7 linked regions of the Xenopus tropicalis genome follow. The protein of the gene in region 4 purifies or fractionates together with the protein of the main gene of each other region. This does not show direct contact. Links are inferred from orthologs where the notes say so. Each region holds a gene or a part of one and is shown on either strand. Other genes may lie near its edges.

Region 1 (4,765 bases), on a different chromosome or scaffold from region 4:
GCTTGTGTCACAACTGATGTCAGCATTTTGGAAGTTTTAGTGCCATGTAGGGAAATCAGGGTAAAAAAGAACTGAGGCTCAGTGCTGACATCTTGTGGGCAGTCTGACAAATGCACCCAGCAATCAACAAAGACCTATAAAAAAAAATTAATTGTCTTTAGTTGAAAGAATCCAAGGGTTTGGTCAAATCTATGTCTCAGATTAAATCTTGGTACAATCTATGCATTCCCTCTATCTATTACCTAATGCTTGGGGGGCTGCAGTCCTGAATTTGATTTTCTGAATGTATTGTGAATGTGATATTAATCTTAGACTGCAAGCTCCACCGGGGCAGGGATTGATGTGAATGATGCCTAATCTCTGTAAAGTGCTGCATGATGGCACTATATAAAGGATAACTATTCTATGTTTTATTTTTATATGGTGCCAACTAATCACCTAGAGCTGGTTCATTATATCAGCCCCTGCCCCAGTAGAATTTATGGTCTAATTTCACATTCACACAGCAAGCACAATGGGACCCATTTAATCCAAAGCTAATTAACTGTCACGTGTCTAAATATCTATGCCATATTTAAATGCTCCGTGGGAAGGGGGCCTAGACCGCAGGGTCTGCTTCCTCTATCTATATATCTATAGGTCTAAGAAGCCCCCCTCCCCAGCCACTCTCTTACCTACTTAGCACAAGTGGCAGGGGAGCGGGGGACACAGGCCGTTGGGTGGAGGGAGGACCAGCTAGGTGCACACCTGGCCCCTCTGATGATTATCTATTGGCCTGTCTATCCATCATCTATCTATTCACTGGCATACCTATCTATTGGCCTGTCTGTCATCTATCTATCCACTGGCATATCTATCTATTGGCCTATCTGCCAACTATCTATCCACTGGCATATCTATCTATTGGCCTGTCTGCCAACTATCTACCCACTGGAATATCTATCTATTGGCCTATCTGCCAACTATCTATCCACTGGCATATCTATCTATTGGCCTGTCTGTCATCTATCTACCCACTGGCATATCTATCTATTGGCCTGTCTGTCATCTATCTACCCACGGGCATATCTATCTATTGGCCTATCTGCCAACTATCTATCCACTGGTATATCTATCTATTGGCCTATCTGTCATCTATCTATTGGCCTATCTGCCAACTATATATCCACTGGTATATCTATCTATTGGCCTATCTGCCAACTATCTATCCACTGGCATATCTATCTATTGGCCTCTCTGCCAACTATCTATCCACTGGCATATCTATCTATTGGCCTCTCTGCCAACTATCTATCCACTGGCATATCTATCTATTGGCCTGTCTGTCATCTATCTACCCACGGGCATATCTATCTATTGGCCTATCTGCCAACTATCTATCCACTGGTATATCTATCTATTGGCCTATCTGTCATCTATCTATTGGCCTATCTGCCAACTATCTATCCACTGGTATATCTATCTATTGGCCTATCTGCCAACTATCTATCCACTGGCATATCTATCTATTGGCCTCTCTGCCAACTATCTATCCACTGGCATATCTATTGGCCTCTCTGCCAACTATCTACCCACTGGCATATCTATCTATTGGCCTGTCTGTCATCTATGTACCCACTGGCATATCTATCTACTAGTCTATAATTCCCATTATATACCTATCTACCCCCTTCCATATTTAGCTATGTATGGCTCTGTCTATGTACTTCCAAATTCCTTACTTATCAGTGTGCCCTTCTCTCTACCCTATCCCCTGCTCTCTATCTGTAAATAGCAACACTAATACAGATGCCGGAGTGCGCAGGCGCAAGGCAGTCCCTCCGCTGAGTGAAGCAATGGAGGCCACTGGCAGAGGGAAGCGGCTGGATGTTCCGAGCAGGGTCGCAGTCAGATTCCCCGGGCAGCTTGGGAGCCACTCCCGGCATGCAGGGAAGAGCCGGGCTGCCCTTGGGGAGAGCGGAGGGTATTTCTCTGTGTGAGACCCGGAGCCCTACTAGTAGTAAAAGTACTAGAAAACTCCGCTGGTGAGAGGGAATTTCCAAGCCCCGCCTTCCGGTGTATAATAGCGCCATGCAGCCTGCCTGCCTCACTCACACGGACTGCTATGTACTGACTGCGCAGCCAGCTGTGCTCTGATTAGCGCCCCAGCCCGGATTGCTTGCGCCTGAGAGTGCTGATTGCCCCTTGGTACAATGTCCTCTATCAGTGATGGCAGCACAGATGCGCTGGTGGCCAGGTTCAAGGTGCTGGAAGAAACCGTGGATAAACTGCACAGGGAAAACAGGACACTGAAGAAAAAGGTGCAGAGCTACCATGTCCTCAACTCTTTCTATCATGAAGCCAAACAGGAGGTGAGCAGCCTCAAACAGAAACTCACTGCCAAGGAAAGTCTCATCCAGAAGCTGATGGCCAGCCAGGCTGCCCTGGGCACCGAGCCTCCGCCGCACGTCTCCTCCTCCAGGTCCTTAGTGGAGAGCTTGATGGACCAGTTGGCTTTAATGAAGAGCAGACTGAAGGAGACGGAGAGGACATGTGAGGAGAAGGTGGAATCCTTGAGCCAGGTAGCTATGCCCTCTGTGCATCTACTGGGACCTGTAGTGCCCACTATGGGCATGTCCAGCCTGCAGAACCACAGTGCCCGCTATGGGCATGTCCAGCTGCAGAACCACAGTGCCCGCTATGGGCATGTCCAGCCTGCAGAACCACAGTGCCCGCTATGGGCATGTCCAGCCTGCAGAACCACAGTGCCCGCTATGGGCTTGTCCAGCCTGCAGAACCACAGTGCCCGCTATGGACATGTCCAGCTGCAGAACCACAGTGCCCGCTATGGGCTTGTCCAGCCTGCAGAACCACAGTTCCCGCTATGGACATGTCCAGCTGCAGAACCACAGTGCTTACCATGGGCTTGTCCAGCTGCAGAACCACAGTGCCCGCTATGGGCTTGTCCAGCTGCAGAACCACAGTGCCCACTATGGGCTTGTCCAGCTGCAGAACCACAGTGCCCACTATGGGCTTGTCCAGCTGCAGAACCACAGTGCCCACTATGGGCTTGTCCAGCCTGCAGAACCACAGTGCCCGCTATGGGTTTGTCCAGCTGCAGAACCACAGTGCCCACTATGGGCTTGTCCAGCTGCAGAACCACAGTGCCCACTATGGGCTTGTCCAGCTGCAGAACCACAGTGCCCACTATGGGCTTGTCCAGCTGCAGAACCACAGTGCCCACTATGGGCTTGTCCAGCTGCAGAACCACAGTTCCCGCTATGGACATGTCCAGCTGCAGAACCACAGTGCTTACCATGGGCTTGTCCAGCTGCAGAACCACAGTGCCCGCTATGGGCTTGTCCAGCTGCAGAACCACAGTGCCCACCAGGGCTCAGGGGTGCTTGGGGTTCGTATTGGAGAACTGCTGGTTGGACCCCTTCGTTTACAGTGTTGTTACCTGCTGTCTTTTTTAACCTTGCTTCAGCCATGCAGAATTTTGAGGATATTTTACCCAGACAATAAGCCTGGCTTTGGTTTAAAGGGAATGTGATAGGCTGGGTATTCCCAGCAGCATTGTGCCCCTCAGATGTAAGTGACAGGGCTAGATGGTGTAGGTATTACGTGTTGTTAATATACTATAATCTCCTATCCCATCCCCTGGCTGTGCTCAGCAGGATGAACTATGTGACTATGCAGCATACGTACATTATAATATGTCAGCCTTATATGCGTGTAGCAGTTTTCAGTTCTGAACTCTGAGGGTGAAGACACACGGAGCTACTAGTAGCAGCTACTTGTCATGGCTACAAAATTAGACAATGCTGATCATTTACCAATAATTGTCTCTATATGTGTTTTAGCAGAGGCAATTCTCAGTATTGTCTATGGCAGGGGATTTTCTGGTGTTTAATTGCAATGACAAGTATCTGCTACTAATTAGCTCTGTGTGTCTTCACCCTAAGACATATTGTCCCAGGGAATTGTGGCTTCCAGAAGATCAGTTGATTTCTTAGAAGCAGTTTGGGAATATTTGTATCTTTCATTTTTACTTTCTGTTTGAGTAGCTCTTATATAGATCATTAATGTAAATCACTGTAATTAAACCCGTACGTGCTTTCCCAGGAGTCTCAGCCTCTCTATCCCGTAGTGTAGTCTCTCAGTACTTACTGTCTCCTCAAATAATAGTCATATTTTTAGTTCTATATTGTCATTCTTATATATTTACTGTACCATTCAGGGCACCCCTATTTTCTATTTATATATCCATTCATTTGATTTATTTTGGGCTCATGTGACTCACAGCTGAAGTATTTAGTATTTAGAGGGCACATGAGTGATATAAGGGAAACCTACTCATCGTAACTCGTGATAGACACAGCTGACAGGAATTTTTTTGGCAGTTATACAATGTTATTCCAGTTTGTCATACAAGCATTTTCCAACCAAAACAGCAGTTGTAAGTAGAAGAGAGTGGGAAGCTCAGTAGCAAAACACATATCAACATATGAACTGTACAGGCAGCACAGCACCTTCAGTAGCAGTTGGATAATAGCCTCTGGGAAGGGACTGTGGCTGTGGGATAGCAGGTATAGTAGGGAGAGATGGTGTCTATAGTAGCAGTGGGATAATAGCCTCTGGGAAGGGACTGGGGCTGTGGGATAGCAGGTATAGTAGGGAGAGATGGTGCCTATAGTGGCAGTGGGGGGATAATAGCCTCTGGGAAAGGACTGGGGCCGTGGGATAGCAGGTATAGTAGGGAGAGATGGTGCCTATAGTAGCAGTG
Region 2 (4,035 bases), on a different chromosome or scaffold from region 4:
AGGTCATATGCTTTGTTTAAAGGGTTAGTTAAATATGTTAACTATTTAAAAATGTTGCTTTTTCATTCACCTTTTCTTTTAAAGTCCTGTTTTTATTAGTACAATGAATTGTAAAGAAATGACTATTTGACTACCTTAATGTGAGTGAAGTGGGGTCTGGTGGCATTGGCGCTTCTTCTGTTGTGCTTACACTGTTCTTTTCCTTCCCTAGGCCATGGAGACCTAAATGGTACTGCAACAGAAAGATACCCCTCTCCAAAGACCCTTGACTCTGAAAAGGCTGCAAGTCAGACTGCTTCTCGGGTTACTAACGGGAACCAACAGGCCGTCGACAGCAACGCCAGTACCAAGCATTCATCCAAGGCCCTGAGCTTTGGGAAAAGTGGAAGCAAAGTTAAAACCTTGCTTCATAAAAACAGTATGGACAAAAAGAATGAGAAGTCTTACGAAAGCAAGCCTAAGGATAATAAACACACAGACAAGGTTGAGGCAGGACCCATTCAGAACGGTTTGCTGGCAAACAACTCTGGATATATAACTAATGGTTATGTGAGTAAAGGTGCTGAAAATGATGGCAGTGGCTCAGAGAGTGGCTACGCTACTCCTAAAAAAAGGAAAGCCAGGTGTAGTAATGCCAAAGTTGTTGATGGGTCTAGCTTTGTAATAGACAAGATGATAGACTCTGATGTCAAATTTGAGTCTGAGAACTCCAAGCCTGATTTATTAGTTGACCAGAAAGGAGGAGCTAGACTGGACAATGGAAAGTCCTCTTGGAAATGTGAGGCTGCAGCCTCTGGAGCTGGTCGGGGTAAACCAAACTCTGCAGATCTGCAAAGGAAAAACTCTGATACCAAAACGGTACCAGGAAAGAAATTTGATGACCGGCCCAAAGGCAAAGCTTCTACAACTGCCTCCTCAAAGGAGGACTCCTGGTCATTGTTTAAGCCTCCCCCCGTTTTTCCAGTGGACAACAGCAGTGCTAAAATCGTTCCTAAAATAAGTTATGCAAGCAAAGTTAAGGAAAACCTCAACAAAGCAGCCTTGAACAACTCTGCTTCACTATCTTCCCATGCCTTTTCTCCGGCAGCTGGGGAAGTTCCAACTTTGAACTGTGTTTCCCAGGTTCCCATGTCTGCCATGAAGTCGGTATCTACAGCTAATTTCTCCAATGGGCCCCTTTTAGTAGGACCTGATGGAAGTTTCTTGGCCACTGCTGCTAGTACTTTATCACACACACTGCCTGCTGGAGCAGAAACTTTGCCCACAGATATACTCTCTGCCCCAACACCCAATGAACAAAAAAAGCCTAGCCTTTTAACTTACCCTTTAAATATGCAACAAGCACTGCCGGATACAATGCAGGGGGAACTGTCCGGTCAGTCAAATCAACACAGCCTGGGTGAAATTTTTCAGAACCAGTGGGGTTTGTCTTTTATAAATGAGCCCAGTGCTGGTCCAGATGCTGGGGTGGACAAGCCTTCACTTGGGCAGATGGTCTGGGAGCACCCCATCCCAGCAGCTTCACAGGGTGCTGAAGTTGCTGCCTCAGGAAATGAGCGCCCAGTTTTCCCCAAGGCCTATGAGCTAGAGAAACGGACTAGCCCTCAGGTTCCAGAAGGTTCTACCATGAAAACAACTGTTGATTCTGGGGCAGAGGGGTCTGGATTATGTTCAGACCTGCAGCACTTAGGGGAGCCACAGAAGACTGATGCTGCTAGCCAGGGTTGTTTAGTGTTTCAGTCCAAGGTCTATGAGTTAGATATTTCGCCCCAGGCACCCCTGAAAAACACTTTACAGACCTCCGCCAAAGATAAGAGGTACCATGCAGGCCTTGAATGGAAAGATAGCTGTGGTTCTTTCGACCTGAGGGCTGCTATTATCTATCACACTAAAGGTAACACGTTTGATTCCCTAATGTTGCTTGCCATGTAAAAGCACTGCTTCAGTGCAATGACCATTAACCATGTATTAAAATGAGCTGGGACAGCAGGCTGATCATACAGATTATTTGGATTGTTATGAGCATATTACATTTCTGATGTATAAAGGCACACTTATCTAATAAAATAGACACATTTGATTTTAAAACGTTAAGGGGCATTGAGTCCAATGAGTAGCATAGGCTACTTTCAGCTTCCCTGTGTTACCAGCTTCCTGATTCTTGCACCTTTGCTCAACACAAGCACATTCAATGTCCTTATTTTCCTAATGTTTTGCTATTACAGAGCTCTAATATCAAATTTTGTTTGTACTCCTTCTCATAGCGTCACCCACCCCTCCTTCCCTCAGCTTCAACTCATAATACATTTTACTAAATATTCCTACAAACAGTGACACAGCAGAACCAGTTTGAAACTAGTGTATTAAAAAGGCATGCTTAGTACAGGCCCTACTGAGCCCTTATTGAGGGTTACAATACCTCTTGTGTTTGTTTTTATTGTTTGGCAAATATATACTTTTGGAAATATAATATGCTTAATAAAATTGCAAATTGTCCGCATATGTTAATCATTTGTGACCCTTAAATAATCACAGTTTGGTAGCATTATAGAGGTATATATTGCTAAAGGCTTGTGTCAGACTAAAGGTGGCCATACACCTTTAGATCCGCTCACTTGGCGATGTTGCCAAGCGAGCGGATCTTTTCCTGATATCCCCCACCTACGCGTGGGCGATATCAGGAGAATCCAGGCCAATTCGGTCATTTGGGCCTGGGGCCAAACGATCGCATTATAACGACGGTTATAGGAAAAGTCGGTTTGAGGACCGCATCAACGAGCCGATGCGGTCCCCGATCCGACTAAATTTTTAAACCTGCCTGGGCAGGCCCTTCGTTAGTGCCCCTACACGGCTGATTAGCTGCCGAATTAAGGCAACCTGAGTTCTGATTAAACACTGGGGATTCTACCTAAATATGACTCTAAACATGGTCTGGTTTTTGTAGCACTACTGGGTTTTCACATACTCTGCTAACCTTTATGCACCATTTCTTCAAGGGGACCTGTCACCCTGACATAGAAATCCGTATAATAAAAGTCCTTTTCAGATTAAATATGAAACCCAAATTCCTTTTTTTATTAACACATCCATACCCATTATAAAGGTATTTTTGAATCCCAGCTGTCGATTCCTTTCACTTTCCATTCAGCCCTTCACAGATGTCACTGCCCTCCCCTCATTCCCCCTTCATCCTCACCATCTATATGTGGGTCTACAAAATGGGGCCTGCCTGTTTGCTGTGATTGTGTAATTCCAAGACTGAAGGAAACAGCACTTAAATCATTTATATAGTGTAACTGAAGTTTTTGATTGACTAACCTAATAGATAAGAATTTAGAATTATTTCTTAGGGTGACAGGTCCCCTTTAAAGTATGTGTTTGTGTGCAGAATCTTCATTCTTCATTTTTTATTGCATTTGGGCTTGAAAGGTGACCTGTTGCTTATTACAGCTGGGCCATTGCCTATAAATATATACCCAATCGGTGTTTCTTTATAAACCTTTTAATGGCTGTGTATTCATGTTGGTTATGACAACACAAACCTGATACAGTGCAGTGAATGGGTTATGGAAACAACAGTAGCACAGTGCCTCAGCCTGGCACGCATTCATAGCTCATCAACTGTGTTTAGTAGTTCAGCAATCCTTAACGGTCACTTAAAAAAGAAATAAATCCTAAAATGTATATGGCTAGAAATATTGCACTTACTGTAGCAGGCCAGAGGTTCAGTAGCCCTGTATCAGAGTTGTCCATGGCAGCTCCCTGTATTTGAAATTTTTGTATCTGTGGCACTGCACATGCTCAGTGTGAGCTAAGCTTAGGGACTGTCAGAACATGATCAAATTGGTACAAAGTAAAATGACATCTTACTGATGCTACAAATTTGAAGCTGGGTGCACAGGTTTCAATTATGCCTTGTCATTTGAATTCATTACTTATCAGCTTTGCATAGTGATATTGATATTTGTTATAGTTGGTCCCTGAGCTTAGTTAAGTGACAGCAGAACGAAAAAAGTGAACCAGCAGAAAGGAATA
Region 3 (4,035 bases), on a different chromosome or scaffold from region 4:
GATTCCAGGAGGTGTGCATAGAAAGGAGCTTTTTTGATATGTGTTGGTTAAGTGCTGTTTCTAGGTCCAATGAGACCAGGTTTGGGGTGAGGGTTTGGAACTTGGCCAGAAAGGCGTGTCTTAGCTGTAGGTATCTGAATAGGTGCACTTGGGGTTCTTTTTCTCACAGCTCTTGGTGCGTAGGGAACTGTACACCTTGGGCTAGGTCTTCTAGTTTCTTGATCCCCAGTCTCGGACAGACTAAAAAGTCGGGTAGGTTCTTGAGGTGGGGGAGTAGAGAGTTTCCCCATAAGGGCATGTGGGGGGATAGGTGGGGTGGTGGGTAGCCCATGAGTTTGAGTGCCACTGCCCAGGCTTTGTGGGGGGTTTTGAGAGAGTCAGGTAGGGCGCTCCCATCAGTGATGAGTCTGTAGGGGAAGTTGCTTAAGCCTTTCATGGAGTTAAGGAGGGAGGCGTGTAAGGCCGTGTTGGGGTTGTATGGGTTGGGGCAGAATTGCCAGTGTAAGTATGATATTTGGGAAGCCAGGTAGTAGAGAAAAAAAGTGTGGGAGGGCTAGACCTCCTTGTTGTACCGGTGCTGCTAGCTGTTGCCATGAGATGCGCGGCATTTTGTTTGCCCATACGTTTGGTATTATTAGGGTGTTGAGTTTGTGGAAAAATGAGCGTGGAAGGGGGTATGGTGTGGCGTGGAATATGTACAAAAACTTGGGGTGAAAGACCATTTTCAGCAGATTGATACGCCCCCAGAGTGTGAGTGGTAGTTTTACCCAGGTTTTCAACGTCAGGGCCAGTTGGTCCATCAGTGGGTCGAGGTTAAGTTTGATAAACTGTGTGGAGTCTGAGTGAACCCGGATATTTAAAGAATTGGACCCATTGTAGTTTCATACCAGATGGGACTGCTGGCGTATGGTCTAGGGCAGTGCTGTCCACCTTCTGTGGTACCGAGGGCAGGAATTTTTCCGGCCTCCGTGGTGGAGGGCCGATAAAGGAAGCTAGTTTTGACCACTCTCCCCTTTTTAAAACCACACCCACGTTATCGCATGACCATAGCCATATTAATGGTGGTAGTACAGCAAAAACCTGCCAGACTCTGCCTGCCCTACCCTGCCTGTGTGCGCGCCAGACTCTGCCTGCCCTACCTGCCTGTGTGCGCGCCAGACTCTGCCTGCCTACCCTGCTGTTGTGCGCGCCAGACCTCTGCTGCCTACCCCTGCCTGCCCTACCCTGCCTGTGTGCGCGCCAGACTCTGCCTGCCCTACCCTGCCTGTGTGCGCGCCAGACTCTGCCTGCCCTACCCTGCCTGTGTGCGCGCCAGACTCTGCCTGCCCTACCCTGCCTGTGTGCGCGCCAGACTCTGCCTGCCTACCTCTGTGTGCGCGCCAGACTCTGCTGCCTACCCTGCCTGTGTGCGCGCCAGACTCTGTGTGCGCGCCAGACTCTGCCTGTGTGTGCGCGCCAGACTCTGCCTGCCCTACCCTGCCTGTGTGTGCGCGCCAGACTCTGCCTGCCCTACCCTGCCTGTGTGTGCCATACTCTGCCTGTCCTATGCTGCCTGTGTGTATGGCACATACAGGCAACATAGGACAGGCAGAGTATGGCACACACAGGCAGCCTACAGTGACGCAATGCTGGCACTGCACCTACAGTCTGCACAATAACTTTATATTAAAAAACTTTTAATTGCAGTACCACCACAGTATATGTTCTTTTTATAGTGTGCAGGGTTTATTTGTGGGTTTCTACTGCTCCTACAGTCTGAGGTTGGCTAGGTACACTAAAATGTTGTCTGCACATAGTGATACCTTTTTGGATATGTTGGCATATTTGAGACCTTGTATGCTGGGGGAGTTACGTATGAGTATCGTCAGAGGTTCAATGGCAAGGGCAAATAGCATGGGGGAGAGAGAGGGCAGCCTTGGCAAGTCCCTCGAGAGAGGGCGAAGGGTTCTCAGGTAATGCCGTTGACCCTGATTTTGGCTGTGGGGTTTTGGTATAACAACTGGACCCATTTGATGAAATGCTGCCCCAGGCCAAATCTTTTGAGGACCTCCCATAGGTAGGGCCATTCAACAAAGTCAAATGCTTTCTCCGAGTCTAAAGAAGCGATAACCCTCAACCCTGTTTCCCTATGGGGGGTTTGTAAGTTTGTTAATAGTCGGCATAGATTGATATCTGCTGCTCTACCTGGCGAGAGATCTACTTTTAGTTATGCTATCCCATTAAGGTCTACCACCACTACAGCATTGTATTAGTTCTATTGAAGTTTAGTGGAAAATTTGTTACATTAATGTGATAAAAAATGTTGCTTAATATAGCAGTATGTATTAAGAATGCTACTTGATAAGCAAAATTGGTTGTTATCCTTTGCCTGTAGACAATGCTCTGCTCAAAATCTACATGTAAAAATCTACACTTAGATCCAAATTTATTTTTTGACACACGTTGATTAGGGAGTGGAGAAAATATTATTGGCACAAACAGTGGCCTTGTCAATGACGTTACACATTAAAAGACTGACATACTTGTTCTCTCTTGGAGCTGCTTGGACTTTCACTCTCCTCTTTTATTTTTCTGCTTTCTTCATCCTCTCCCTCATCCTGCATTTCTGCGTACTTCTTAATAATGTCATCAAGGTGAGATAATGCTACACCGCGGTTCTCACGAAGACGCCGAGTCAAAGCTGGATCTTGGAGAGCAGGATCAAACCCTAGATAAAAAAAAAAAAAAAAAGAGAAGGCTCCAATGGGATTATCATACATCTATTTAGTAACGGCCTTCAAAAAGGAAATTGTTGATTTATTTACATTAAATTTTTTGTGCCAACATAATGCAACCAATGAAAGTAAAAATCTACTTACAATACAATGCCACATGATAATGTTATTCCCAGTTCTAGTTGGCAACACTTTTTTCCTAGTTATTAGTTTTTTGGTGGTAAACAGCAACAATGTATCTTCAATGTGTCTCCCTGGTGACTGACATGCACTATCCTGGAACTGTTTGATATGGACTAGTGTGGTGCAAAGGTGGCCATTTGATTGTTTGTTAATAAGAACTGAATCAATGACCTCATGCTGTCCCGATCCAATGGGAAAATTAAACCTGCCTGATTTTTTCCCAGATATTGATCAAGGAGATCAATCAATCAGACTGCAGTCAGTCTAATCTAAACTGCTTTACAGATTTCACTTATGGGGTTTTGGTACTTGGAGGAGAGTTTATTTACCTCTCAAGCCTAAAGGTGGCCATACACTAGCAGATCCGCTCGCTTGGCGATGTCGCCAAGCGAGCGGATCTTCCCCCGATATCCCCACCTACGGGTGGGCGATATCGGGGAGCATTTAGGTAAAATGCGGATTATGTGGGCGGCAATGGGGCAGTCGGATGGGGGACCACATCAACGAGCCGATGCGGTCCCCGATCCGACCGGATTTTCTAACCTGGCCGATCGAGATCTGGCCAATTTCAGGCCAGATATCGGTCGGCCAGGCCGCTCTGCTCTCCCCATACACGGGCCGATTAGCTGCCGAATCGGTCCAAGGGACCGATATCGGCAGCTATAGTCGGCCCGTGTATGGGGACCTTTAGACAGACTGTTTGAACATGCCAGGGACAATATCAACAGACTCAATCAGTTCCAAGCCAAATCCAAAAAATCCTTGAATCACAAAAAAACATGTAATTTTACAAAACACGCCAGTTAGTAGAGCTTCTCCAGCAGAATTCTGTAAGGAGTCTGTTTTCCAAAAACAGCAAACACATTTTTTTAATATCTGATTTTAAATTTGACATGAGGCTAGCCATTTAGTTTCCCAATTGCCTTCAGCCATGTGACAAACTTCAGTCGCTTATTGATGAATCCATCATGATTACTATATAAGGCCAAATATTATCCACAAACAATTCACCTGAATACTAAACCAAGTCTGAATTTACGTAAATAAATCTCCCCTCATCCACCAATATGCTTTAAAGTCATATGAAATTAACAATCCAGATTCAGTTTAGTCTGGACAAATCCAAATCTGCATGACC
Region 4 (4,035 bases):
AGATCACAGAGATGAAGCATACAAAATAGAACCATACACTTGTAAAGTCTGTGAACCCCTGTTTTAGACACACACCAAAAGCGGTACTAACCTGGCGTAGGAACAATAATAATAACATTTTAGAGAATGCTGATGTTTTAAGAGACATTACTACTAAAGAGCATTTTTTTTTTTTTAATCTTAAAGGACGTCAACCCCCAAAAAATGTTTTTGCCTAATAAATTAGAAACATAATTCTAAGCAACTTTCCAATATCAATTCGTTAAAAATTATTACTACTTTAAAAGTTGTGTAAACGTAATTGCTATTGAAAGCAGCATTTGCCGAAATCCTGGTTGTTACTTTTTAACAAAATTGCATGTGCCAGGCTCCTCCAGCAAGGCAGGTCTGTCACGATTACGCCACTTCAGATGCACGTGACTGTAGGCGTGGCTGTCTAGAGGGTCCCTTGCTCAGTCTCACACACCTGACACACAGGTCAGACTAGCATCACAGCACCCCAAAGACCAACCAACGCTCACAAACTCATACACAACTTGCTGCCACCACTTTCATACTTCTTACACTGGCGATGAGAGATGCCAAGCACACTGGTAGAGAAAGGGTTAATGTAAAGAACCGACACACACACTCTCCTTACCAGCAGTCAAAGGGTTAATCAGCACACAGCATACAGAGGGCTAAGGCACACAACACAGTTACACACTCGGAGGTTAGGTACGTTTTAGAGCATCAAGGACAAACTTATTAAATTTTATATTTAATATTATAAAAAGTATAACAGTGCAAGTTTAAAACAAGATGTTACAACAAAGGACATACGATAAAACAAGTACAAACAGTTTTAAAATAAAAAGGGAAAAATATAGAAGTCCTATACTATACCAAGCAAAGTCCTTCTAGTCCTGGAGGCAAGGGGAAACCACAGGATAAACTTCCAATAGAAATTGGTCCTCCACATAATATCTTCAGAAGAGCTGACTATTTATCCCAGTTTGCAGGGGGATCAGGTAACTGGACACTCCCCCCTCCCTCAGGAATGCAAGGGGTGTCACCATTAGCAGGACACAGTGTGAGTTTTATGGCCTCCTGTGTATGGACTGAGTGTATGGGACTTGTCCAATGATACCAATGTCCATAACTCCTTGTGGGAACATGATGAAATTAGATTCATCAATTCTTAATGATCCCACCGGTCCCATACAGACTAAACATCACCACTGTGTGACCTGCCCCTGCCCAGATACTCCTATCTGACAAACCAAGTGCCCAAATCCAGTGATGTTTGGACCCGTATGAAAGGCCATCTTAAATGAAACATATACTCAGGTTTTGGTACCTCTAGTATAAATAGTATGGGTTCTGGGACAATAAATGTTTGTGAGTTTGGGTTATGGTGTGACCTCCACATCACCTATGATGGGTCCCAATGTGAACTCTAAGTCACCCCCACGTGGGCTTTCACTCCCCCACATGGCATGGCTCTTATCAGCCAGGGATTAGAGTTGGGCATTTCAGGATGCGAGGCCTTTACACATGGCTGGTTCCAGACCCTAGTGACCAGAGGCCTGTTATATATCTCTTTCTGGCACATTTCTGGAAGATTTTGGGATACCTTGGCCTGCTTGATTAACCCTTACAGGCCTATATCATGACAAGGTCTGTCAGTCTGCTGCCTTGTGTTACATTGCTTCAAGTGCCAGAGCCACCAGGGCAGAGACTAGAGAGGACAGGTAGACACTGCTTTTAATAGCAATTATATATACAAATAACTAAAAAAAATAATGAATGAATGAAGTAATGAATGTATATTGCTTAGAATTAAGTTTTGTTTAATTAAGCAAAAAGTTATTTTTGGGGCTGACAATTCCTTTGAACAGAAGTGTAACCAAACCAATCATTACCTGTGAATACTACGATCTGGGGAAAGTTCAGCTTCATAATATCCATCCTTACAGTCCTTTCCTACCAACTCATGAGGGTGAGGTTTGTGTGGAGAATCCTTAGTAACTAGGGATATTCGAATACGCGCTGAGCCCTGGTAATGGTTTATCTAAAATGACCATAAAGAATGGAAGGAATCAATCAGACAATAAAAAAATAAATAAAATAAATGTGCAAATGACAAAAACCATGAATGAACAAATCAAATACTATGATGATGGTAAAGTGATGATTAGAATGATCAATAAGGCTAAAAAATTTTTCACTTCCCTTAATAAACAGCTGGGTAAAGAGCTATGAAAGTACAGCCATCAGTTAAGTCAAACAGAGCCCATAAGTTGACCGCTATCTTGTAGGCCATTACCAACTATGCCAGTGTGTCTTACAGCAGAAAATGAAAAAACATACATTATCTGACAACAATGGCTATTCAGACACTGAAACAATTTGTTCATTTAATGAACAACAAATCCTGCAATAAAACGGTGTTCTTTTTAGTCATTTCGCTTTTTGTTTAGCAGCTCTTCAGTTTGGAGTTTCAGCAGCTATCTGGTTGCTAGGGTCCAAATTATATAGCAACCAGGGAGTGGTTTGAAGGAGAGACTGGTACATGAATAGGAAAGGACCTGAATAGAAAAAAAAGTTATAAAAAGTAACAGTAAAATTGTAGCCTCACAGGGTCAGTGACCCCCATTTAAAAGCTGCAAATTGTTCAAAAACTATAATTGGCCATTCTATAACATACTAAAAGTTTACTTATAGGTGAACCACTCCTTTAAAAGGGACAGGGGTCTTTTTTTCACTCAGGGGCAGATTTATCAAAGTCCGAATTTCGGCTAATTAAAAGTATGATTGGCAAAAATTCGGAATAAATACAATAATTTTGGATGTGTGTTAATTGTGAGAAAATTCCTATTGTGTTTGTACGCAAATATCGTGGCGCAATCCGAAAGTTCTGAAATTTTCGTATCCGAACGATCATAAACGCCGCAAAAAACTTTGACTTTCAACCTTCAATGCATGATTTTGGAAGCCTCCCATAGGATATAATTACACTTTCTGCTTCCTTCTGTTTTAACTAGATGTGCAGAATAAGAAGCAGTCCAACAGCATTATGCATCGCCACCTCACTTCACTGTAGGTCTGCATCAGCGATATTAAGTGTTTTGCATAAACACTTTCCTTTAAAGTAGGGTGGCACAAAAGAAGCCATTATGCAAACGAGCTATGCCAGGTCATGCCAGCTGAGTATCTCTCAGACTAATTAACTGAAACACAAGTGTCATCTGACCTGAATAACAGAGAACATGTGCCAGAAAAAATGTGACACCAAAAATTACACCTAAATTGTGTGTAAAGCCGGTATGCATTGGAACTCAAAACACATAACACTGTTAGTGCTCAAAAGGGGGGGGGGCTGAATGCTGTTTGCATACAAATATTTTGTAAAGTCACGTTAAAACATCTAAATCACAGATAATACACTTATTGCAGGATTTGTATTCATCTGTACAAATTGTTTAAATGTCTGAATAGCAATGTGTCTTTTCAAGTGAGTATTTATGAGCTTTGCACACTGTTTGCAAGTGAAGTCTAAAGGGGGCCATACACAGGCCGATTTCAGCTGCCGATTCTGGTCCAAACCGGTTCGGCAGCTTATCTGCACCCCGATGCCTACCCGATGGATATCTGGCCTCAAATTGGGCAGATCTCGATCAGGCAGGCTTGATTTTCTGTCAGATCAGGGAGCACATCGGCTCGTTGATGCGGTCTCCGATCAGAAGGCGTCTATGTCTGCTATTGCAATTCGATTGTTGGCCCTAGGGATGGCATATCAGGAAAAGATCTGCTCGCTTGGCGACCTCGCCAAATAAGTAGTGTAAGGCTACTTTAACAATGCACAATAAATACAGTGGAACATATTACCTTTAAATGGCTTAAAGCGGTTATTGTTGCAAAAGTTCACTCTACAAAATAAGAAAGGGGTAGTTCACCTTTTAAATTAACTTTTAGTTTGCTGTAGACATTGATACGCTGAGACAATCTGCATTTGTTCTTAATTTTTTTCCCAGCAGGTCTCCAGTTTGGCAT
Region 5 (4,755 bases), on a different chromosome or scaffold from region 4:
GACATAGAGGTACCTTTTACTGTTTTTCTCTGGATAGTGTTTTGAAAATGACTAGAGACAAATTTATCTTAAAGATTGGGAGATCTTTGGCAACGTCTGTGGGGAGTCCCTATGTATTTCCTCAGCACTGTATCAGTTCATAAAAGTTAAGTTTTAGTGTTATTCTGTGATCTTTTAGCCTGTTTGATTTTCATGTTAATGGTGCAGAACTTCATGGGAGCCTTTTTGTAGTCACATTATCTGTGATCTCAATTGAAATTTATTTCCATATTACTCCTCCTGCACATTACACAATTAAAAAAAAATGTTGGTGTGGGTGGTGCGCCCATTTTTCCATTTATTTCTAATTATATTTTTTATCTACAGGCAAAAAATATATATATTTTATTGCTTGGATAGCTATTCCCTTTTATTCTTACTTGCTTGTTCTCCTGTCACTTCACTTGCTTAGCAGATGCTTTTATTCCTAGGGGTGCAGAGCAACAGATTTCTGTGCCCTATAGGGAATGTACAGTACATGCAGTTACTGAGTAAATAGTTCACGGAATATGCAAGTTAAACCTCATTCTCCTGCCTCTTTCCTCAAATAATACAAAAACATTGGTTTGTAACCCAAAAGTGGACAGGACAGCAGCTGCTAGAAAAATAAGCTAAGATATGGAAAGATCATGGCAATGGCATTAGCAGAAAAGTTAAAAACAATGGCCATAAGAAAAAAGGGGGGAAATGGAAGAATAGTCAAATTTAAGATTGACAGGTCCTACTGTCAGTCAAAGCCTTTTCCCTTTGTACTGTATTACTGTGCCTGCTCAGCAATTTTACCAGTTTCTTCTGAGGGTTGTGATGGGTGAATGGATGAGTGCAGAACATAAAGATGGTGTGGGGTGCAGGGGAAGGGTTTCCAAGTGCGCATGGTGATGGTGAAAGCCAGTCCCCATGAAGATCTGCAGGGGGGCCCAGCCATTTTTTGTTATGCCAACGAGCAAGGATTTTTAGATCCCCCTCACATAGAAGAGAAAAAGCCTGGGCATTTTACAATGTTGGCAGGCTCAGGCTAGCTCTGTAACAGTGCCATAGGGCAAAGGCAAAGTACAGGGCCTTGTTGTGGCCTGCTACAGCTTGACTTGTTCATCTGAAAGTCAAAATTATTATTCAAAATAAATATATGTTGTTGGATGTCAGAATTGAAAGGGTTGGACTGGAGTGTGCAGGTTCATTATTATTATTATTAACATTTATTTATAAAGCGCCAACATATTCCGAAGTGCTGTACAATAAGTTCTTAAAAAATATATATATAAAAATATATATATTGCAGGTTCATAAAAAATATAAAATATGAATGTACATTTAAATGAATGAAAATAATCCAAATGTAAAAAAATATTTATAAAAAGTATCATAGGTTCATAATTATTAGGCAAAAAGAGTCACTTCGAGCCAGCCAGGAGTCGAACCTAGAATCTTCTGATCCGTAGTCAGACGCGTTATCCATTGCGCCACTGGCCCGCTGACATGTAAAATAGTTTAGACTTTTTCTTTTGAAAACTACATTCTTGTCCCTCCCACTGTGTACGCAGACGTATTTGCTCCAGTCATGCACTCAGCAAGCCGGCGAATGCATTTGGCCCCGCCCACTTTCGTTTACTCGCTCTTGATTGGTTTTCACTTCTGCTTGTAAAACGTAGCTGTTCCTTTCATTGAGTCGTTTCTGTTCTTCTAGAGCTCAGGGTTCCGCCCCCAGCAGCCGGGGGCAGATCCTCATTGGCTGATCCGAACTGTTGTCACAAGAACGGGGTACCGCGCGTGGAGTGGAAGTTGGCAAGATGGCGGCAGGCGGCGGAGGCCGTGTGTCCAGCGGCAGAGATCTCGGCTGCGTGACAGAGGTTGCGGACACACTGGGGGCGGTGGCTAAGCAAGGGTGAGCTCTCTGCCATAGCGCCCCGGAGATGTCTATAGGTTGTGTTAGCGCAGTGACATGTGCACGGATCTGTGAAGCCTGTGCATCCGAACATGTGCCCTACATGTGCCTTTCATTCACAAAGCCAGGAGTTCCCCTACCCACAAACCAGGCTCATTGGGGTGGGATGCTACTATGTACGCAGGGGTATTGAGCCCCATATAGGGTACCCAGGCTTGGGCTTTCATTCAAACGATTAGGTCCCCTCGTTAAACCTACTAAACTGACCCTGCACACTGTACTTCGCATCCAGGATAATAAGCTTTGTGTATATCTGCCCTGAAATATTCATACATTGCGGGTTAGCAGAGAAGTGCCACCATTACAAAGCGGGCCCTGTACCCTGTGCAAAGTAAGTGCAGGGCTCCTGCTCGGCTTTGCCCACCTTTCCTTTTCAATTTTGCATCTCGTCTTATATAAGGTGCATTGTATGTGTACAGAGAGGCCGTAATGTCACACTTCCTAGATGAGGCTTCATGCAGCCCTTTTACAAGCCTTGTGCTTAATAACTGTGGTCCAGAGCTGTACAGCAGGGAATACCCATCAGCAGTGCCATAACTACTACCACTGGAGGGCCTGGATTGGTAGTTACCCTGGTATTCCCCTCAGCACCCTCTCTCCTCCCTGCATCTGTGCTGTCCACTCTGTGCAGGAAAGTCAAGTTACCCCACTGCCAATTGGTATCAAATGATCAGACTGTGAGCTCTGTGGGCAGACAGTATAAGTGGCCACACAGTACAGTCATCTTTCAGTAGTTTTTTGTTGGCCTTAATTCTCCGATATTACAGGTCTTCATCATTTTCTGCCTTGTGCTGGTCGACTGGGTGTAAGGCCTGTTGATAATTTCATACCTGATCAAGGGTTCATCTAGTGTCCAGAGCACAAAAATATTGGTTAGATTATCTGCCAAAAATTTGAGACTTCATATGCTTCAGTAAATGTGCAGCTAGCCTAATCATCAACTTTCTCAATTTTTATTGGTCAGTATAAGGCCACTTTACAAGTAGTTGCAGTACACAGTTATGTCACTACTGCTTTGTAAAGTCATAATTACCATTTTATTTGTATTGTTTACATCTGTCTATGTTGTTCAGTAAAGCCTTATATAAAATATATTCCTTAATTGTCTCCAAAAGGCCAACTGTGGGTATTTAAAATAAATAAATACATTTTTTAAAGTGGTGGCAAATTTTCAAATTCACAGACAAATTAAATTTAGATCATTTTAATTTCCTAGTGTTGCTGGCCCTTTAAGCTATGATTTTGGTGCTTTTGATGCAGTTTTTGGAAGGAACATTGTTGCAGTTTTGTTTTGCCAGCAGATAGTTTGAACAAACCCATAGAATATAATTACTTGACAGTAAAGCACAGAGGGTGCATGCTATCTTTAATTGGTATATATAAATGTCATGTACAATGTCTTTTTAAATATTTTAGGTTTGACTTTCTGTGTATGCCGATCTTTCATCCTCGCTTTAAAAGGGAATTTTTCAAGGAACCTGCAAAATCGCGCCCAGGACCACAGACCCGCTCAGACTTGCTGCTTTCTGGCCGAGGTGATCTGCTTTCTTTTGTATTAGATTTAAATAAAAGGCAATGAGCATATAATACTCATGGGAGATCTACTTGAACTGAGATATATGCTCCACCAAATCCCCCATGCCTGTCTCTTATGTCATTGCTCTTGTGCCACTTACCCGTTTGTGTGTTTTGGGCTTGCTTCATTCAGTCTAATCTTAATCCACCTAAGTCTGGTAGTGCTAGAGGTATACCCAGATTTAATTGGGCCTGTGAGGGGCTATTTGTGACTTTGTGTACTTGAAATGCTTGGGCCTATTTTCTATCTCAGTCCACTTGTGACTACAGGTATGTTTCTGCAGCTTGGGGACACAGTCTTTATTATTGCAGTTCTGCTGGACCTCTTGCCAAACATCAGATTAATGTATAAATGTAAACACACACTGACAATATTCCTGCTAGCAGTCTATAGCTGCATGTTGTTAGCTAACACTATACCTTTATATTTGTGCAGTCATTTCTTGGAGAACAAACTATTTATAAACATATATATAATTAATTGCTCTTCCTCCTTAGACTGGAATACATTGATTGTTGGGAAATTGTCCGACTGGATAAAGACAGATTCTAAAGTGTCTGGAATCCGCAAAACCTCGGAAGCGGTAAGGGAAAGCAGAAAGCTATTACACACACTAAAAACTGGAAAAAGCACAGTTTCCTGCAATATAGTTATGTTATAGGATAATTACATATCATACTTGTTATGAACATTGTGTTCAAGTAATATTTGCATTGAATGCAGCTTCCATGTTTCCTTTTTCTCTTATTGACTACTGTCCAACCCCCTCTTTTTACTTTTACAGGCTTTGCAGCAGGAGTTAAATTTTTCTGCATATTTGGGGCTCCCAGCATTCTTAATTCCTCTTAAACAAGAAGACAACAGTAACTTATCCCGTCTCCTTATCAACCACATTCACACAGGACACCACTCTACAATGGTAGGATACCATTTGCATTTGCACGTGTCTTTGTATTATATTTCTGCTGCTTAATTTAACTTTTTGTGTTGATTTATTTTAGTTTTGGATGCGAGTTCCTTTAATGGCCCCTAATGATCTACGTGATGATATCATTGAAAATGAACCTCTCAGTCAAAGTGAGGAGGATAATATCGATGAGGAAAGGACTTGGATATGGTGAGTGTGTCGAATAAAAAGTTTTTATGCCATTTAAAGGGTTTATTCACATTAACTTTTAGGATAGTATCATGTGCAGTT
Region 6 (4,035 bases), on a different chromosome or scaffold from region 4:
GTTCGGCCTGTGAGTTTAGGTGGACGGCCTTGTCTTGGTAGGTTTACAGTTGTGCCATACTCCTTCCATTTCTGAATGATCGCTTGAACAGTGCTCCGTGGGATGTTCAAGGCTTTGGAAATCTTTTTGTAGCCTAAGCCTGCTTTAAATTTCTCAATAACTTTATCCCTGACCTGTCTGGTGTGTTCTTTGGACTTCATGGTGTTGTTGCTCCCAATATTCTCTTAGACAACCTCTGAGGCCGTCACAGAGCAGCTGTATTTGTACTGACATTAGATTACACACAGGTGCACTCTATTTAGTCATTAGCACTCATCAGGCAATGTCTATGGGCAACTGACTGCACTCAGACCAAAGGGGGCTGAATAATTACGCAAACCCCACTTTGCAGTTATTTATTTGTAAAAAATGTTTGGAATCATGTATGATTTTCATTCCACTTCTCACATGTACACCACTTTGTATTGGTCTTTCACGTGGAATTCCAATAAAATTGATTCATGTTTGTGGCTGTAATGTGAAAAAATGTGGAAAAGTTCAAGGGGGCCGAATACTTTTGCAAGCCACTGTATTTCGTAGATAACACACATTTTTTAGTAACCCTGTAGCCTTTAGCTGTAAAAATCCCCATACAGAACCATTGCAATTCTAAATATTCTAGTTGTCATTAAACCAGTGGAATGACCTAATCACTGAACCCCTCTTGTGACAATGCTTTCAAGGGTCACTAAGCCTTAATTTTCTCCCTGTATTTTTCAAGCAAAAAAAATGTACAGCTGAATGTATAATGTGTTTCCTCCTGCTCCATTTCACCTAAGGTTTCATGAAGGGATACTGGCTTAATTTGCTATTTAAGCCTCTCATAGCACACACTGGCCACAACTTACTGTATCCCAAATCAAACGCCACCCTTTAATGCTATAATCTCCTAATAATAAATCAGCAAAAGACAAAGAATTAAGTTATGGAAGAATTCTCGTAAAGAAGAATTAGTGTAAACTTTCTTAGCGTGATTCTTTGAGCTCTCTTGCTTTCTTTACAGTAACTTTTTAAAATGAATAGCAATAAACAATTGTGATATTAGATATTAGGAGTTTTATACTACTTGGCAGGCTTTCAGCTCAATAGCTTTTTGAAGACCCTGTGTCACTGCTCATTCTCAGTTGAGCCAAACACCTGGTATTAGCAGTCTGCAGAAACTGCAAATATTTCTATATTTTTAGACACCACATATAAAATTAATGTGAATTAATGATTTTAGCCTGCCTTTAAAAGAAAATACTTTTATAATAAGACATTACCATACTATAGGTATGCCCTTGTACCAAGCAGAACCTACTAGAAAAATGTATAGTGAACTTCAGTGTACACTCTGCTTGTGAACCAGGTATAGAACAAAAGATGATTGTGCCACCCAACTTACAGACCTTACTGATGGAAGCTGGAACTTACTTTGATCATCTATGCCATCTCTTAAGGGAACATTCAAACAGTAATATCTTCCACTTTCTGCTCCCACTTCGTACATATCCCCTATAGGATAAAACAGAAGCTGAATAATAAATATAATCAAAGTTTGTGGGGTTAAATTATCGAGTACCTTTCTTAGGCTCATGGCAATAGCTGACCATTTGTTTCTGGTAATGCCTTACAAGGCACCAGTTTGGTTATCAGGTAAATGTGTATGCTTCATGGAGGTGTGTTTTAAGACTCTGTGGGACAAAAGAGTGTCTGACATTGTGGGTTAATGAATTCCACAGGTATGGAGCTGCTCTAGTAAAGGTGAGCATGTGATGAGGTTACTAGAGCATCATTACCGTATATAGTCGAGAATAAGCCGAGGCGGAGCTTTCAGCACATTTTTCATGCTGAAAATCTCGGCTTATACTCGAGTATATACGGTAAGTTTAAGATCATTAGAGGATTGAAGTGGTTGATTTGGGGTGTACCTGGAGATAGGGCTGGAAATGTAAGGTGGAACATTGTTACTGAGGGCTTTGTAGGCGAATGTAAGGAGTAATAATTACATGGTCCTTCCCTACTGTTTTTTTCTTGTGAGGAGCTTCAGCTCCATGGACTTCCTTTCAGAACCAAGTCATTTGCTATCCTAATTAATAACTAACTCACACAATATTTAACCTATTGGACCATGGCTTGACAGTGTTTCATCACTTTAAAGTAAATACACATTATTATAGCTCTCTTTTGCATGCAGAACAGCAATTTACATGTTAGTAATGTCTGAATACAAAAAGGGTGCAAGATTGGCTACAGGAGGAAAAAAAAAAAGGTATACACAAGTGTTTATCCATGTAATCCAAATATATAATTACGTTTATCCATTTTGCACACTCGGCCGTTTCAAAGGCTGTTTATTACTGGTGAGCGACTGCCTACACTAGCAGATAAAGACTATTTTAGTATTACGGTCACATACTGGTGTATCTATTGTGAAGGTAGAAAAATGGCTTAGAAATTTGGACACAAGGGCAAACAGCCAATTATTCTTATTATTCTGACTATAGACCTTTCTTGCCTATTGTCTGGAATATAAAAGACTGGCTGTATATCAAAATGAAACATTTTATAATGCTATTTGGCCACTAGTTGCTAATTTATTATTAGCAAAATGATTTACAATAAGAGTAAGCATTTCAAGACATTTCTCCACCTGTGCTCCAACATTATGGTGTGTGTCCAACTGCCCTCATTTCTACTGTTCCTTTTAACAGTACTCACCTGTACCAGGGAAAAAATAATTCCCATACTTGTGAAATGATACTGTCATAACTCTGTCAGTGAGGTAGAATGCTTCCTGTACTCCATCTCCATGATGAATATCAATATCTACATAAAGAACACGAGGATGATACCTAGGGGTAAACCCACAAAACATTATGTTAACATGAAGTTCATAAAACAGGTAACATCCCTTTTGGGAAGTTATGTGCATCAGACTAAAACACAAGGAGAAAGAAATTAATTAATACTGCACAGTATGTGCATGCATTAACCCCTTTTGGGAAAGCAAGCTTCCTTTTGGGAGCACCCCTTGCAATTTTTCATTGTTTTTTTTTATTGTTTTGGATAAGTACCAGAGATTACAGGCCACACAAATGCACAAATAGTTACTACAGCTAAAAAATTTTGAAAAGTGAATCAAATGTATTTTTCCAAAACTACATGTTACTCTAATATTAGAAGCTGTTATTAGGTTCATAACTGCAGCATCCCAGAGAATGGGCAAGCATTCGCAGACTAGGCATTGTAAAACCAATGTAGAATGTATTATAGGATTATAAAATAAGACAAATTATCATAGGACTGCATCTACATCAGGGGTTCCCAAACGTTTTTACCTGTGAACAACTTTTAAATGTAAAAAAAGTTGGGGAGCAATGCAAGCATGAAAAAAGGTCCTAAAGATTGACCAGTAAGGGCTGTGATTGGTTATTTGGTAACTCAGTGTAGACTGGCAGCCTACAGGGGCCTCTGTTTGGCAGTACACATGGTTTCTATGCCTCCAATTCAGAAATTAAAAAATAAGCCCCTGCTTTGAGGTCCTTGGTAACAACATCCAATAGGTTGGTGAGCAACATGTTGCTTGCGAGCCACAGGTGGCGGATCACTGATCTACATGATGACAGCATACCTATTTATGGAAGTTTCTTCTTTTAGGAGAAAGCCATTTTAATTCAGATTTATGGTACTTACTTAAGTAGCTCAAGAATGCCAATAACGATGTCATTCACATAACAAAACCCAGATGCCTGTGATAAACAAAGAAATATAGCCGTCAATGAGGAAAATATGGCAAATATCAGGTTATGTTTTTAAATATCAAACAGGTACCTCAAATTTTTTAGCATGGTGCAGTCCGCCAGCCCAGTTAATTGCAATGTCACAGATCTGTGGATATTAAAAAGAAACAAAATCAAGAGCTTATTTAAGAAGAAATGCTATTATTCCTGTCACATTCTCTAAATTTGACGTGTCTTATTCAGATTAATATAAAACTAAGGGCTTTAAGGACAC
Region 7 (4,723 bases), on a different chromosome or scaffold from region 4:
ACATAATCCCCAGTGACCAAACAGCATACTTTAAAGATATTTCATGCCTGACTCAACATTAAACAACTCACTAGTTCCCCTGTGGTGCATTACATAGGTCATCAAGTACTCCATTACACAGTAACACAGTTAGACATATAGATAAACAGTAACAATAAGATACCATGTTGGTAACTCATTGTATTCTCCTCAGTTGATGTGTAAAGCTGGCCATACATGCACCGATAATATATATAATAATAATATATCATATAATAACCATGCACGCACCGATAATACAATATTATCGGTGCGTGTATGGCCAGCTTTACACATCAATTGAGGAGTTAAAAGATCTGCCTTCAGGGCTGAATTGGTAGAAGGAGGTAAAAATCCTATTGTTTCTGCCTCCTTATCTGCCGTTTCAGCCCTGAATGTTATTGGCGGATTGAACGATCTTTCGTGCGACCATCGCAAATCACCACGTGTGTGGCCACCTTTTGTGTCGGTGTCCTAGTCTCATTAACAGAAGGGTTATATGATTAGCATATCAGCAAAAATCACTGTACAAATGTCAAGCCTATATCTGTTGCTCAGTGCAACAGGGGTGAGCAATAGTAACCCTTGTAAACAAAAATCCATATAATAAGAAGAGAAATAAATATTCTAAAAAGCATCATATTTGATAAGGTAGCCTTCCTCAATCCAAAAAATGCAGTTCCAAAGTTGCAATGTTGTGTTGTGTAGGACCAACTGAAAATGCCTGCTTGTTAGGGAAGTCCTAAAGTTTGGAATATTCTACTTATTTGCTACAAACTCTGTCACAAAGGTGTTCTGATGCTCTATTTTTCTAATCTATAAAAAAATGTCCCCATACCTCAATTTATATATGGTTCTTTAAGCAAGTGACTGTATTAACACACAAATTGGGGTGCCTTGTAGTCTACCTGCCCAAATTATTTTTTGAATAGAGCTTTACCCACTAAGGGTTTCAAGTTGTTCATTGGTCTACATGTGTGTTTTTCTTTTGTGCATTAATAAATAGACCAATTACATGTTTTTGCCTTACAGTACAATAAAAAATGTGACTTTGATTACACCTTACAGTTTCATGGGACCTTAAAGCAAAAGGAAAGGTGAAATCACTCGGGGTGCTAAAATGTTGGGCCTCCCCCAGTGATTGTACCTTTTCTTCTCCTTTAACCTGGTCCCATAACTGCCTGTTCTCAAAGTGGTCCAATAAGACTATGGCCATGCTTTTTATATGGGAAGTCCACCTTACTATTCTACAAGACTATTGTAAGTGCCTGCAGAATCTCACTGCATTCACCAGCAATTCAAAAGTCTTACAATCACTTTTTTTGCTCTTTCTGTTTTTTCTAAAATGTAGGTTTTAAACATTAATCTAATTTTCTCCCTTTAATATTAGCTCAATATGCAGTTACTTACTGTTTATTGATATATTTCTCAGCAGCTTTAGAAAAATGTCAGTGATTAAGATAGACATGTGTTCTAATTCTAGCCCACTTAACTGAAATATAGGTTTTCTTTTCATGAATTTCTTTAAAGTAGTTAAACAGAAGAAGAGGTGTTAGCTAAAGCATGTGACAAATCTTTCTATGGAGCAAATGCAAATGTCATCATGTTAGGGCTTTACTAGTTGGAAGCATCCAGTAACACCATCCAGTTGCAGTTTCCTTTTTTGGATTCACAGCTATTGCATTGTCAAAGCATCTAACCATGTAAAATCCTCTGTTTCAGAACCCAGTGGGAGATGCAGAGAAGTAATGAATATCCCAGCAACATATCAACAACAGTTCCCCTGCCGTAGTGTGAGGGTGGATGAGCCCGTTTCCAGGCTGGAGACTTAGATGATCTGTACATGAGTGCTGCTTTATGTTTTTCTGCACTAACATTCCTACTGTTCAACTAAAGACATAATGACAGGTCAGCTAACTGAAGATAATTCAGAGTCTCCCAATCTGAACCCTGATGAGCTTGAATGTAAGATCTGCTACAACCGTTACAATCTGAGACAGAGGAAACCAAAGGTACTTGGCTGTTGCCACAGAGTATGTGCCAAATGCCTTTACAAACTGGTGGACTGTGGAGAATCCCCACAATGTGTTATTGTGTGCCCGTTCTGCAGATTTGAGACCCGTTTGCCTGAGGACGAAGTCAGCAGCCTTCCAGATGACAATAATATATTACTGAACTTGGCATGTGGTGGAAGGGGGAAATGTGTTGGAGACAACCCAACAGAGCTGCTTCTGACCCCAAAACGTCTGTCAACTCTTGTCACCCCCTCCCACACCTCTGCCAACTGCCTTGTCATTACCATCATGGAGGTCCAGAGGGAAAGCTCTCCTGCTTTGAATGCTACTCCTGTGGTAGAGTTTTACAGGCCTTCAAGTTACGACCCAGTTTCAATACCTCAGAACTGGACAGTGTGGAACTGCACTTCACTGATCTGCCAAACCTCAGTGCGTGTGTTTGTTTGGTTGTTAGGGTTACTTTACTTCAGCTCCCTACCCTTAGGGATCTATTTGCTGGTGTCAAAAAAAGTCACCCTTGGGGTTGTCTTTGTCAGCCTTGTTCCATCTAGCCTTGTTATTCTCATGGTATATGGCTTTTGTCAGTGTGTGTGTCATGAATTTTTAGACTGTATGTCGACGTCTTAGTCCTTTAACCGTATCGCCATCAAATGTCCATTCTAGGAAAAATTTTGTATCTTTAATAGTCAAGATATTTTACCTGTATTTTTAACTGAATTAGATTTGTGTTAATAAGTTTCTTTGCAGTGTTCACTATGACTCCTGTCTGTTGCCTTATAGTTAATAATGTTGGTAAAAAAATCATTACCACCCCAGTTTTAGTCATGTGGGGGATCTGTTACTGATATTTACTGAAATATTAAATAATGAGAATTATTACATGGTGTAATTGTATTTATAGGCTGTAACTCAGGCTTTGGGCAGTGGCACACAAGCTGTTTTAATTACTACTGAAGTGTGTAATGCCAAGCAACATACTTATATTGCTTGCTTCTCATTGGCTGTGATGTTCAACGTAATTAGCTATTAGTGTCACCATTAGAATGCTTCTATGCTACAGCCCTACAGCCCAATTCAAAAGATATCATGTGATAATGCAATGCTAGCAAAGAAAATGTGATCGTTTACAGGTATTGTACTGAAAAGCACTATAATGAAAAACTGTTTTAAGTCTCTCAATAGCTGTATGTGTTTTTATCTGGTTTCTGCCTACTTTTATCTTTTTTTATTAAGGTTAAAAATGCTGCACAAATAGGAAGAGAAAATCAACCCAAATATTTATGAATGCTATGTAACGCTCCCAACTATATATAACATCAACCAATAACAGCATTTAAATTGAAACTAGCAACTGCTGGGCATGATGTGCATTCACATATGACTGGCACGCTCACAGAGGAACAGCATTATACACAAAGCACATAACCCAAAGGGAGGAATGCATCCTGAAAAAACATTGTGATTCTCCACCTGGCACAAGGGAAAGTTTCATCCATGGTTTATGCAGACTTTCAGAATGCCACCTTGTTACTGTGGCTAACAACAAGGAAGTAGGTAACTGCTGCTGATATGAGTTGATTACTATAATCTGACCACCGTTATCAGATACAAATATTTGAGGCTCCCACTGCTTTAAGTCAGTATATTTTGTCAGAGATTGCACTGATAATATCCCTGCCTTGCCTGCAAAAGCTGGTTCATACATCCTAAATGGTTGCAGTCTCTATACTTAAATTGTGCTTCCTTAGTAGTTACATAGTAATTCGGTATTGCTAATTACTGACAGGCTTCTGCCTCTCCCTGGGACTGTGACTTGCTGGCTGCTGATACTGCAGAGGAAGTGCTGGAGGAACACAGACAGTGGCAGGAGGAGCGCCAGAGTGTGGTCAAAGCAGGTATGTCTGTGTATGTGCATTCTACAAGGGTGTTTTTTTCCCACAGAGAATGTGACTGACAATGTCACTGCTGACGTGCTGGTGTCCAGGGACAATGACTTACCCTGTGTATTGAATATGGGGCAAAGTAATATCTCTCCTATTGGCTCTGCTGCAAATGCTGTGATGGTGCTTAATGGCAATGTTTTTCCTTCCACTGCTAATCCTTCCAATGCTGCTGTTATGGGCCTTAAAGGCAATGCTTTACTTTTTGCTTTTGGTTTACCATCCACTGCTGCTAATGTCATGGTTCTTAAAGGGAATGGTTTGCCTTCTACATCACTCATGGGGGAGGGCCCTGCTGGGTGCTGTATAAACAGTGGTGCCCCTGGTGCTGGTGACTGATAACATTTCTGTACTAAGGAGTATGGAGTTGCTGCAAAGCAGGAAAACAACACTGAAGCAGGAGATAAAGAGTGTGACTGTTTCAAGTGGGGTTCAAAAGCCCCAGGGCACCAGAAAGGCTGCAGCTTTAGGATGATGGCCAATGGAGTGAGTTAGTTGCCCGCAATAGATCTCTGCTACAGCAGGCGACTAACCATGCCAAAATGTCTTGCCACCAGAAACAATAGGAGTTGCCAATGGAAAGGCCTATGCATTGGTTTGGTTTGGTAGCAGAGATCTATCATGGGCGACTAACTTGCTTCATGGACCATCAGCCTTAAACAAAAAGCTGGAGGACATTGGGCTGGAGATCAAGGAGACCATGGAGCAGATCATTAACTTGAGCCAAAATGTCTCCCATGATGATGCAAA

What was found.
Region 1: the proteins of rela (region 4) and tnip2 purify together in Homo sapiens (affinity purification with mass spectrometry; 4 studies listed by BioGRID and IntAct, with this or other methods). This does not show direct contact. The link is inferred for Xenopus tropicalis from reciprocal best matches to the Homo sapiens genes RELA and TNIP2.
Region 2: the proteins of rela (region 4) and nufip2 purify together in Homo sapiens (affinity purification with mass spectrometry; 3 studies listed by BioGRID and IntAct, counting the BioPlex papers as one, with this or other methods). This does not show direct contact. The link is inferred for Xenopus tropicalis from reciprocal best matches to the Homo sapiens genes RELA and NUFIP2.
Region 3: the proteins of rela (region 4) and daxx purify together in Homo sapiens (affinity purification with western blotting; 4 studies listed by BioGRID and IntAct, with this or other methods). This does not show direct contact. The link is inferred for Xenopus tropicalis from reciprocal best matches to the Homo sapiens genes RELA and DAXX.
Region 5: the proteins of rela (region 4) and prmt5 purify together in Homo sapiens (affinity purification with western blotting; 3 studies listed by BioGRID). This does not show direct contact. The link is inferred for Xenopus tropicalis from reciprocal best matches to the Homo sapiens genes RELA and PRMT5.
Region 6: the proteins of rela (region 4) and hdac3 purify together in Homo sapiens (affinity purification with western blotting; 3 studies listed by BioGRID and IntAct, with this or other methods). This does not show direct contact. The link is inferred for Xenopus tropicalis from reciprocal best matches to the Homo sapiens genes RELA and HDAC3.
Region 7: the proteins of rela (region 4) and rnf182 purify together in Homo sapiens (affinity purification with western blotting; 3 studies listed by BioGRID). This does not show direct contact. The link is inferred for Xenopus tropicalis from reciprocal best matches to the Homo sapiens genes RELA and RNF182.

What each region holds. Positions count from the first base shown.
Region 1 is NC_030677.2:21,864,214-21,868,978, reverse strand, and holds the start of tnip2 (TNFAIP3-interacting protein 2), read left to right. Parts: upstream 1-1,813; 5' UTR 1,814-2,192; coding exon 2,193-2,561; intron 2,562-4,765. UniProt on the Homo sapiens protein: Inhibits NF-kappa-B activation by blocking the interaction of RIPK1 with its downstream effector NEMO/IKBKG.
Region 2 is NC_030678.2:33,024,226-33,028,260, forward strand, and holds part of nufip2 (nuclear fragile X mental retardation-interacting protein 2), read left to right. Parts: intron 1-211; coding exon 212-1,894; intron 1,895-4,035. UniProt on the Homo sapiens protein: Binds RNA.
Region 3 is NC_030684.2:72,195,035-72,199,069, forward strand, and holds part of daxx (death domain-associated protein 6), read right to left. Parts: intron 2,708-4,035; coding exon 2,523-2,707; intron 1-2,522. UniProt on the Homo sapiens protein: Transcription corepressor known to repress transcriptional potential of several sumoylated transcription factors. Down-regulates basal and activated transcription.
Region 4 is NC_030680.2:38,474,640-38,478,674, reverse strand, and holds part of rela (transcription factor p65), read right to left. Parts: intron 2,054-4,035; coding exon 1,905-2,053; intron 1-1,904. UniProt on the Homo sapiens protein: NF-kappa-B is a pleiotropic transcription factor present in almost all cell types and is the endpoint of a series of signal transduction events that are initiated by a vast array of stimuli related to many biological processes such as inflammation, immunity, differentiation, cell growth, tumorigenesis and apoptosis.
Region 5 is NC_030677.2:140,172,679-140,177,433, reverse strand, and holds the start of prmt5 (protein arginine N-methyltransferase 5), read left to right. Parts: upstream 1-1,753; 5' UTR 1,754-1,826; coding exon 1,827-1,921; intron 1,922-3,397; coding exon 3,398-3,516; intron 3,517-4,054; coding exon 4,055-4,140; intron 4,141-4,341; coding exon 4,342-4,476; intron 4,477-4,558; coding exon 4,559-4,674; intron 4,675-4,755. UniProt on the Homo sapiens protein: Arginine methyltransferase that can both catalyze the formation of omega-N monomethylarginine (MMA) and symmetrical dimethylarginine (sDMA), with a preference for the formation of MMA.
Region 6 is NC_030679.2:27,758,292-27,762,326, forward strand, and holds part of hdac3 (histone deacetylase 3), read right to left. Parts: intron 3,910-4,035; coding exon 3,853-3,909; intron 3,771-3,852; coding exon 3,715-3,770; intron 2,874-3,714; coding exon 2,740-2,873; intron 1,534-2,739; coding exon 1,453-1,533; intron 1-1,452. UniProt on the Homo sapiens protein: Histone deacetylase that catalyzes the deacetylation of lysine residues on the N-terminal part of the core histones (H2A, H2B, H3 and H4), and some other non-histone substrates.
Region 7 is NC_030682.2:91,940,379-91,945,101, reverse strand, and holds the start of rnf182 (E3 ubiquitin-protein ligase RNF182), read left to right. Parts: upstream 1-1,671; 5' UTR 1,672-1,919; coding exon 1,920-2,660; 3' UTR 2,661-4,723. UniProt on the Homo sapiens protein: E3 ubiquitin-protein ligase that mediates the ubiquitination of ATP6V0C and targets it to degradation via the ubiquitin-proteasome pathway.